Linked DNA regions of Neurospora crassa OR74A. The protein of the gene in region 1 interacts with the protein of each later gene in a pairwise test. Links are inferred from orthologs where the notes say so. Each region holds a gene or a part of one and is shown on either strand. Other genes may lie near its edges.

The links.
Region 2: the proteins of NCU04507 (region 1) and NCU02658 interact in a two-hybrid assay, tested with the Saccharomyces cerevisiae proteins (3 studies listed by BioGRID). The link is inferred for Neurospora crassa OR74A from reciprocal best matches to the Saccharomyces cerevisiae genes NPA3 and GPN3.

The regions. Positions count from the first base shown.
Region 1 is NC_026504.1:3,142,050-3,147,210, forward strand, and holds NCU04507 (ATP binding protein), read right to left. Parts: upstream 2,824-5,161; 5' UTR 2,577-2,823; coding exon 2,504-2,576; intron 2,429-2,503; coding exon 1,302-2,428; 3' UTR 1,132-1,301; downstream 1-1,131. Other genes in the region: NCU04508 (hypothetical protein), read left to right, coding at 397-599, 687-711; NCU04506 (hypothetical protein), read left to right, coding at 4,094-5,161. UniProt on the Saccharomyces cerevisiae protein: Small GTPase required for proper nuclear import of RNA polymerase II (RNAPII). May act at an RNAP assembly step prior to nuclear import. Promotes sister chromatid separation during anaphase.
Region 2 is NC_026501.1:3,093,861-3,098,277, reverse strand, and holds NCU02658 (ATP binding protein), read right to left. Parts: upstream 2,981-4,417; 5' UTR 2,657-2,980; coding exon 2,609-2,656; intron 2,535-2,608; coding exon 1,683-2,534; 3' UTR 1,424-1,682; downstream 1-1,423. Other genes in the region: NCU02659 (hypothetical protein), read left to right, coding at 284-332, 559-1,040. UniProt on the Saccharomyces cerevisiae protein: Small GTPase required for proper nuclear localization of RNA polymerase II and III (RNAPII and RNAPIII). May act at an RNAP assembly step prior to nuclear import. Promotes sister chromatid separation during anaphase.

The DNA.
Region 1 (5,161 bases):
ACAGGGGTAACTTGCATTCGCAAAGTCCGAACGCCGCCTGCTTCTGTCACCCTTTGTCAAAGTCTGGAACTTTCTGCCTCAGCGTCCCGCCTTTTTTTACCTTTCGTTGTTCGCGTCCAGTTGAAACTCAGTCGCCTGTATAGGTAGCGCTCCGTCCCTCTCGTCCGTCGCAAACCACTCCACCGGTAAATATTCAACATCATCATCATCATCAACCGAACGACATCATCGTCGCATATCGCTATAAATCGCATAACATCGATTTGTCGTCGCCTCAACACAAAGACAATCTTACACGTTGCATAACCGTCATCCAATTTATCCGAGCAAACCCGACGACAAACAAACCCAAACCACAAATACCACACCACCCTCAACACAACACAAACAACCAAGATGTCTTCCCGCGAGCAATACCAGGTCCCCAACTCCCAGGGCTTCACCACCGGTGCCTCTAACAACGACGGCAACAGCGGTGGCAGCAGCGTCATGTGGTACACTTGCGGCGACTGCGCGGTCCGCGTGCCGCTCGAGAAGGGCGCTCCTATCCGTTGCCAGAAGTGCGGTGCGCGTGTTTTGTATAAGGAGCGCACCAAGAGGTACGTTTTCTTTGGGCTTACCCGGTGGAAGATTCTGAGAAGGTGGGAGAGAAAAATCTTATGCTAACGACGGTCTGGGGGTAATAGAATGGTTCAGTTCGAGGCTCGGTAAATGGTTTCTTATTCGACTTTGTTCGACTTGGGGCCAACAAAGGAGGTGTAGAAAGGGGTCGCTCTTCCTCGATGCCGTATCGGGCTGAAGTTTTCATCGTATTTGGACCGGCCGGGATGTCCTGATGCCCAAGGACGGGAGCCGAGTCAGCCTTGGAGGCAACGGGAACATTTGTCGAGGGGAGCTGGGACCGTAGGAGACTCGAACCGTCGATATCTTGGTGTGATTTTGCACCATTAGCGGTGGCTTAGCATGGCCCAGCCTTGAACCTACGGCTTGTTGTGATCAGAAGAAGGGAGATATCATATTCATCACAATATCATGATGGCGGCGTTCTGGGAAATATCGGTAGACTTGTGGGAATTTATACAAAGAAAGCATTGCTTTTCATCATCGTCATCATCACCTATCACCATCAGATGGATCCGTTCTGTGATGCTTCTCATTATTGATCATGTTTTTTGCCATATAGAATATTGGTATGGTATCACTCTGAAAACGCCGGTTGTATGCTAAATCTCCTTCCCTCTCGATCACTTGTCTTGCCAACACTGCTCCATAAATCCTTTCCTTACCAATGGCCAATCTCATCACCTCTGGCTGTGGAGGTACTTTGCAAAACTTGCGTCGGCCAAAACCGAATCATCCTCGCCCTGCATGGCAGCGGCGTACCTCGCCTGCAATCCCTCGCGGTCATACTCGTCGTTGGGATCGTCACCATATTCCTCGTCGCTGCTCTCCTCGTCCGTGCTCAACGGCTCGGGGGCCTCTTTATCATTGACGTCACCCACTGTGACGTCGCCCGCCGCGTCGCCCATCGACATTCCCTTCATCATTTTGTTGAGTTCCCTCTCCCGCGCCTTCTTCTTGTTCTCCTCCCTTTCTTCGCGCCTCCTCTCGAGCTCAGGCTGGTAATCGCGCTTGAACTCCTCTGCCTTCTCCTGAACCGCGGCAAAGAACTCGTCAATGCCCGTCCCGTACAGCGAACTGACGCCCACCACGTTCAGATGTGCGTAAAACTCCTCCAACATCAGACTCATGCTGTTCAACAGCGAGCCCATGTATCCGCTGCCCGAGCCCATGCCATCGCCGCTGCCCTCCGCTCCGCCAAACGCGTTGTTGGTCTCGTCCTCCTGCAGCGCAGCCTGGAACGCATCATAGTCGGTCATCCACTCCTTTGCAAAAGCCGGGTCCTTAACGTCCGACTTGTTGAAGACCAGAATCATGGGCAGCTTGGTCTTGTAAAGGATACTGCAGGCGTACAGCATGTTGCTCATGAAGGTCGACGTCGAGCTCGTCCGGGGGGTGTCGATGATGTAGGCGATGACGGTGGGGAAGGATGAGGCGAGCGACTCAAGGAGAATCTGGCCCGACGCGGACCAGACGAACACCTCGATCTGGCCCGGCGTGTCGACGAGAATGTGCTTGATGGGCGTGTGCGTCGGGTCGTCGGGCTTGGGCGCCGTGCGCTTCTCGAGCAGGCCGAGAACCTGGTCGACTTTGGTGGCAAAGAGGTTCAGCGATGTGAGAATGCCGCCGTTGGGGCCGAGGTTGTACTGCTTCATCACCTCCTTGTAGTTGACCGAGTCGCGGATGTCAATGTTGCTCTCGAAGGGCGAGTGGGTGACTGCTGGGTCGAGGTTGATGACATAAGGAGGCTCCTTCTTTCCGTGGAGATGGGCATTGATCTGTTGCATAAAGGTTGTCTTGCCGGATCCTGGGGAACATGGTCAGCTGGATGATTCCGCTTGCGGTTGGGAAAAGCACAGAACATGAGCATGCGTAGACCTACCTGCCATGCCAACGCAGACGATGGCAACAGGCTGGTCAGCCTTGGCGGCAGACGATGCCGAAGTCGAAGCCATGGTGCGACAGCTGTGCACGGGTGCGTGGAAGATCGTTTGGTGATCTCTGTGTTATCTGTCGGATAAAATCAAAGTTGTTGCAGATTTCAGTTTGCGCAGAGATGGTGTTGTAATGAGTCTCGGGAAGAAAGTTTCACGGATGTCGTAAGCGGCGGGGTCACTGCTGTAGGGATGGTCATAGGTGGTTGCGACGGAGTGAATGTCCGAGGGCCACAGAGGGGCAACACCGCAAGAGAAAAAAAAAAACAAAAAAAAACCAAAGTCCATTGATCGCCTGGCGTAGCGGGCGGAAAGGTTCCATCCATCAAGGCATGGGTGGGGTGAAGGGTAGGTAAGGCTTGGCATTTTGTTTTCCCCAAAGTGAAATGACTGAAACCTCGACATTGGTCTCTTTTCATCCTCTCACCCATTCATCTTCCAACTACCTACGCCTTCATGTTCCTCGACATCCAATCCATATCTGGCCGGCTCGCATCTCATCCATCATCTTTTTACCAATTTGGAACTAAATCAGTTGGCGACCTATACCCTGTTATCATGCCTATATCAAAAGCCCATATGGCCTGCTTGACAGCTTCTTGTTTTCAGCCGAGCCGCTGTTAATCCGCGAATACCACAGCCCTCAACCGCCGCAGTAGCTAGTCGACACTCGACCTAGTAACTTGGCGGTCCCGCTCTTCAAGTTATACCCCGGTATTATGGGTGCCTGGATATTTTAGGATCTCAACGGCTGGATGGCATAGCACTTGCCGCGGGCAGACAAGCCCCGAAGGCTTCATCGACCTCACAGGCTATTGTTCAATGAAGTCTGTCCACTTGTCCAGTTTCAACTAATCCTTTCACGCCTAGCAATGAAGCCGGATACGGATGCTTTTTGGACAATTCGGGGAGTCGTCGAGTGGCAATTTGATACTGCTGAACGAGACCGGGATAAGCGATGGGAGAAAAGGCGTCTCACGTCATCTTCGGAAAAGGTCAGGAACTATAGGCAGGATGCTGGCGGGGGCGATTCACCAATGCCAATGACCGCTAAACCCATGCTAAGCGTATGGTCGGTGGTCCCGCGCTGGGGAGTGGGCGCAGCCGGTGGCCTCTTATTGCGTCAAAATTCTCTTCAAAATGGTGGGTGATGGGAGCTGGGTTGGTCCAATAAGCCACAAACGTAATGGCAAGATCCGTCTGTTCGGCACTACCAGGAGGCAGCGTGGCCGGGAACCAAGCGGCCATCCACAGGCTGCCCCTCATGATACTCAGCCCTACCAACCTACCTCTACCACGTTCTATCCATTATACTCCAAGCTGACCCCCAAGATCCGTTTGAATTCTCTCCCTCCCACTTCCTCTCTTGTTTCGTCTCTCGTCCCACACCAGGGCCAGATTCATCATCCGACTTGGGCCAAATTCCAGCGACTCATCAAATCCAGGCTTCGGAGATCGGCTACTATACCCTGCCCACACCTCTATAGAGGTGAATAAACTTTCATTTATCGGTGTTACATATCTACCCACAGCATCCAATGTCCACCATGTTGCGCAAGAAGGAAGCCTTCACCGTTATCACGCCCATCCCGGGCTTCATTCCACGACAGTTGGCCATCGACATCCTTCATTCTCATTCTGAAGTCATTACTCTTAACCCTCTTGTCCTCGACCACAAGCCCATCGCGGCCCCCCAGGATGCAGAAACAGACGAGTATTATGCGACATGGTATGAGATCACCGAACGAGTCACGATTCTGCCTGGAATTGGGAGGATGGGGGCTACAACCATCAAGTTCAATGGCTGCTTTCACGACATGCCGTGGGGTCTTCAGACTCACATATACGCCCCCATGAACGTTGACCTTCGCAACACCTATCGCATCGCCGGTAATCAACCAAACTTTGAGCCTCCAGAGCCACTTGAGATGGGGTTATCAGCTCTTGGGGCACCGTCGGATGGGTTATATCTCCGTGAGGATATTGAGATCAAGTGCAGTCGCACTGTCATGAGCTTTGTCAAGTCGCAAATGAAGAAGGCGGGTGGGGAAATGGTGAGACGCATCATCAAGAAGGCTGAGTTACTGGATGCTGGCGTGCTTCAGGCTATGATCGAGGACGGAAAGCTGAAGACGTTCAACCCGGCCGACAAGAGGAATACAGTCCGACGACCGGCGGTGGCTTCTCCGGGCCCTCAGTTTTCGCCCACATTTGCCAGCTCATCGGCCTCTGGTACACCACCTCAGTCTCCCGGTATTCCCTACCAGATCCCGCGACCGCTATCTGCTACTCCCAGTCAACACCGGTCAAGTACTCCTGGATCCTACCACCGTCCTAACAGCTACGGAAAGGCACCAGCTGCTTTCGGCTATGGAACCCCGAATGGACCACAGGAGCTGTCTGTCACCAACCCTGAACCGGTCTCAAATGGTCCGATTGAGATGCCAGGCGACTTCTACCACGCCCCATCAAACCTTCAGCCTCAATCTCTGTCATCCTCCAACCGAAATTCCAGTCAGTCATACTCGTCCGACCGGCCACAAGCAAGCCCGAACCCATCATTACGCAGCGGGTTCCCGTCTCCCGCTTTGGACAAGAATTTTGGA
Region 2 (4,417 bases), on another chromosome or scaffold:
GACCCAAGCCCCCACACTCCGTTGCCTGGTCAGTTGATAAGATAAAGCCCCCCCGCCTCCACGGAATCGCTAACATCGCCGTCGCTCCACTGGTTCTTTTTCACTTCGCACCACAACTACCCCACCACGTTTCCCTTCCAAAACAACACAACAGATACCGCAATCGCAAATCGCATTTCACATCTTCGCTTGCTTCCTCACCAGAATTTTATATAAGACCTCCTTGCTTCGCGCGACTACCCACCAATCTCTACAGGCCACGGCTAGATCATCGTCAAACACTATGGATCCGTTCAACCTCCCCATCGAATGGGCTCTCCAGCTTCTTACTGGTAAGTCTTGCGCCAACCTGTCGCACTCCCCGAACTTCCCCAGTCTTCACCAGCATGCCAGCCCAAAAAGAATGCAAAAGAGCCCAAAGCGCCACGTTGCGATTCACACTTTGACGTGGACATCTTTTGCTTTTACCTCATCATAAAACCCGTCACCTTCCTCCCTCTTTCTGTGATGCATCCCGTCCGCTAACCTACCATCCTCTTCTTCTTCTTCTCATCATAGGCGTCCTCCCAGACCCCTACCTCTCCCTCGCCCGTCAGCACCTCCTCTCGCCCGACTCCGCCATCCAATCTCTCAAGCGGCACATAATGTCAACAATCGAAGCCTTCATCTCCACTCTCATCCCGATCATGCAGCCGCTTGTCGAGCGGCTAACGGCATACATCTACGCCTCCCCCGACGTGGTCATTCTCGCCGGCGTGCTGTTGCTGCTGGTCATGGTGCTGCAGGTTCTGAGCTGGATGCGACGGGTGCTCATGTTTTTCACCAGGCTTGCGTTCACGCTGGTGTTCTGGGCGGGCATGGCGGCGGTCGCAAGCTGGGTGTACAGGCGCGGAGTGGAGCAGAGCGCGAGGGATGCGACGTTCTGGCTGGGCAGGGCGAGCGGGTATGGACTGGGCATTTGGAATTTCTTCATGACCGAGTGGCAGAGGTATGAGGCGCAGGATAAGGCGAGGGGTCATGCTAAGTATGATCGCGCTTAAACGAGAAGCAGCGGGAGATATGTTGTTGGATAGCAAGGAAGAGGCAAGGGTGGATAAGGGGAGGGCGTCAGGGTGAAGCGGAAAGGGCAGGCAGCGATGGAAGATCAAGATGATGGTGGAGATATCTTGGATGATGACTATGAAGAAGACGATCACTCTTGAAAAGGAGAGATGGAGAATCGATGCCTCGCGGAGGAGAGTACGAGGTGGATTTTTTTTTTTTGGCTTTACGGACGAAATCACGATGATACGACGATAAAAGTTGGAGGGTGGCTGGCTGTTGGAATACCGCATATCCCATGGCGTTACGGCGTTTCCTGTCAGGCAATGTTCGAGATCTGCGACCTTGGAGGTGCGAAGGACCGAGGACGTGAATGTTACAGGCGGTGACCTTGCGTTAGGAATACTGTTTTAAGGGCTTTGGTAGTCAAGTGGGAAAAGAACATATAGATCATTATTGCTTTGCTTCCGTACCCCATCCCATTCTTTTTCGGTGAGCCAAACTTGTATCTTCTTCCCCGACGCCGTCGCTATGCAGAATCCCTATACATTTTGCCCATATGGTAATGACGAGTCCATTTGTAATTCAGTCAAAATCTGGAGACCCCTTCATTCTCAAGCTTCGAATCATTCCTCTTCCAACTATTCCTCAGCCTCGTCAAACTCTTCGTCCTTCAGCTCCCGTGGTTCTTGTGCTTCGTGGTATTGTATGCAGTCATCAATGTAGCTCAGAATTGCCCCAACACTGTCCTCGTCGGTGGAATCCAGCTTGAGGTAGCTGACCATGCTGAAGGTTTCAAGCAGTTGCGCGACAGCCGTGTTGAGGCGCTTGAACGTCGCGCCAGACAGCATGGCGTTCTTATCCTGGGGATCGGCGTACTGGTCATCCGAGATGTCCTCGCCCGCCTTCCTCCTGGCAAGGTCCGCTGGATCGTCAAGCAACAACGAGGTATCCGGAGTTATAAACTTCTTGAGGTCCTTCTTCCTTACTTGGTTCTTGACCAGATCCATCTTGCTGAGAATGTTGATATGCGGGACTTCCAGCATGATCATGGCGCTCATGGCGCTCAGGGAACCTGCAAAGTATTTGGCACGATCGACGACAAAGGTAGCTTCCAGCAGGTATGCAGCGCACAAACGAATGTCCAGGGCGCCGGGTGTTGTGAGGAACTTGACAAGGGTAGGAAGGATTGGAATATGCGTGTAAAGCTCGATCTGACCCGGCATATCAAAGATAATGAGGTACTCCTCGGTCAGCGAGTCCAGCGCCTCGGTCAGGAAGTCGAGGTTCTCCATGAGGAACTCGAAGCAGTAGATCAGGCCGCCGTTGGGGCCGAGCTTCATCTCGTCCATCACATCTTCTAGAGATATCAGGTCCTTGATGTCGAGATCGGGCGTGTGTTCGAATGATTCGGCGGCGGGATCGAGGTTCACGTAGAAAGCAGAGCGCCGGTTAAGTTGAAGATGTGTGATGAGCGATGCACAAAAGGTGGACTGGCACACCGAGCCGTTAGAGAACCAGTGGAAAGCGCAGATGGGGAATTGCCGTTAACTAGAGCCTAGCCTACCTTTCCCGCCCCCGCGGGGCCCATCACCATCACACCGTACTTGCTCATGGCCGCGATGATGCACCGACGTCTAGGATGTGCGTATATATGAACGGTGGAGAGGAGTTGCTTGTCAACTCTGAGCTGCAGCCCAACTGGACGGATGCGCGACGGTGATACGGCGGGGTGATCTGGCGAAAGGATTGGATACCTGGATCTTGGTGTGTGGACGAAGCTTTGTGGGATTGTCGTTGATGTCTATTCGGGCTCGGAACGGATGCTGTGTGCTGTACAGGTGTGACAAGGAAAATCCCGTCAATGCGAAATGATGCGACTGGTGACGAAAAGGTTGCCTCGATACCCGGACTCGATCGCCAAACTTTCTACTGCCTGATAAGTACGGATACTGCCCTGATAGCGTTGCCGCTGCTGCAGGCACGATTGCCACGAGACATGCCTGCCGGTGTAAGCGCGCCTTGATAATTTTTTTGCGGCATCTACTATGTAGAGGTACACAATTGTACCTAGGTGCCCCACTGGGGTCACATCATGTCAACGAATGGCGTCAAATGCGGTGTGCTTCCATGAGAGCGATGCGCGAGCAGAGCTGGCAGGGCAAACAAAGGTACCCAAAAGGCACCACCCTTCCACTTGTTGCACGACCAGAGGGCTGCGATTGCGCAATTTCTCCTTCTCTCAAAAAGCGGGTCCAAGGTCACATCCAGACTTTTGACAGGTTATGTACACTACACCATTACCCGGCCGGGGCACGCTACAAAATATGTGGTGTCGGCCGAACCGTCGGCCGCTGGGCGGTTGCGTGCCGTTGCAGATGTTGAAGAACTTCAGATGAGATTGAGTTCCTGCACTCCAACAGAAAGAACGATCTCGAGGTTATCTTTATCCAGACGGCTGGATCATGTTCACGATATCGGACGTCTACCTATAGAGTGCACTTGGGTTCACCACTCAGCCTGATATGCCAGAGTCTAAGATCAATGATCCATTCGTTCTGCCCGCTCTCCTGCTGCCACTTGATCATGGCCAGCCGGAGACGCTAGACGCCTACACGTGAAAGCGTAAAATGGAGATGGTCCGTTCTTCTTGCCGTGATCCCCGCGCATTATTCGCCATCGTAGGGGAGCCCCGCCCAGCTCGTGCATCTTTCTTCCCTAGTAGCCCTGGCAGAATTTGTTATTTTGTACACCAATTCGGAATTGAAAGTTTCTCGTTACCCCGCCATCCCGTCTCTGGCGCCCGAAACCCGGCCTCCTTTCCATCAGGGTCCGCGACTGGATGCAAAATTCCTCAAATACTCCCACACCCACCTCCCCCGTTTTCTTTCACATAAACTCCGCTCCTTCCAAGCCCTCAATCTCTTTCCTCCTCTTCTTAACTTCATTCCCTCTTGTAGGTTCTGCTTCCTCTGTCTTTTGCTTCGTCGCAACCAGAAGGTGAGTCACTTCCAGTCAGGACGAACCCCAACAATCCCAACCAAAGAGCCCTCTCCCCACGTGTCGAACCCGTGTCCTCCAAAAAGAAAAAGTTTTGAGGCGTCATTCTGCATCCTGGACAAGGCAATCGCAGCTCCATTGTGCAGGCTCCTTGGTCCAAACACCATCTCTCTGGCTTCAACGAGCAAAGTGTCTTGCGATTGGAGTCTTCACCACTTCTTTTCTCTCTCTCTGCCATCCCGAACTTCCTATACCGTACATCGCCTTGCGCCCGGGTGATTAGTTGGTCAACCGTGTCCTCTTGCACTTTCAAGCCTCACATCCACCCAATTGTCTCTTCAACCCCTTTCTCTTCGAGTCATACTCATTCAGTGCT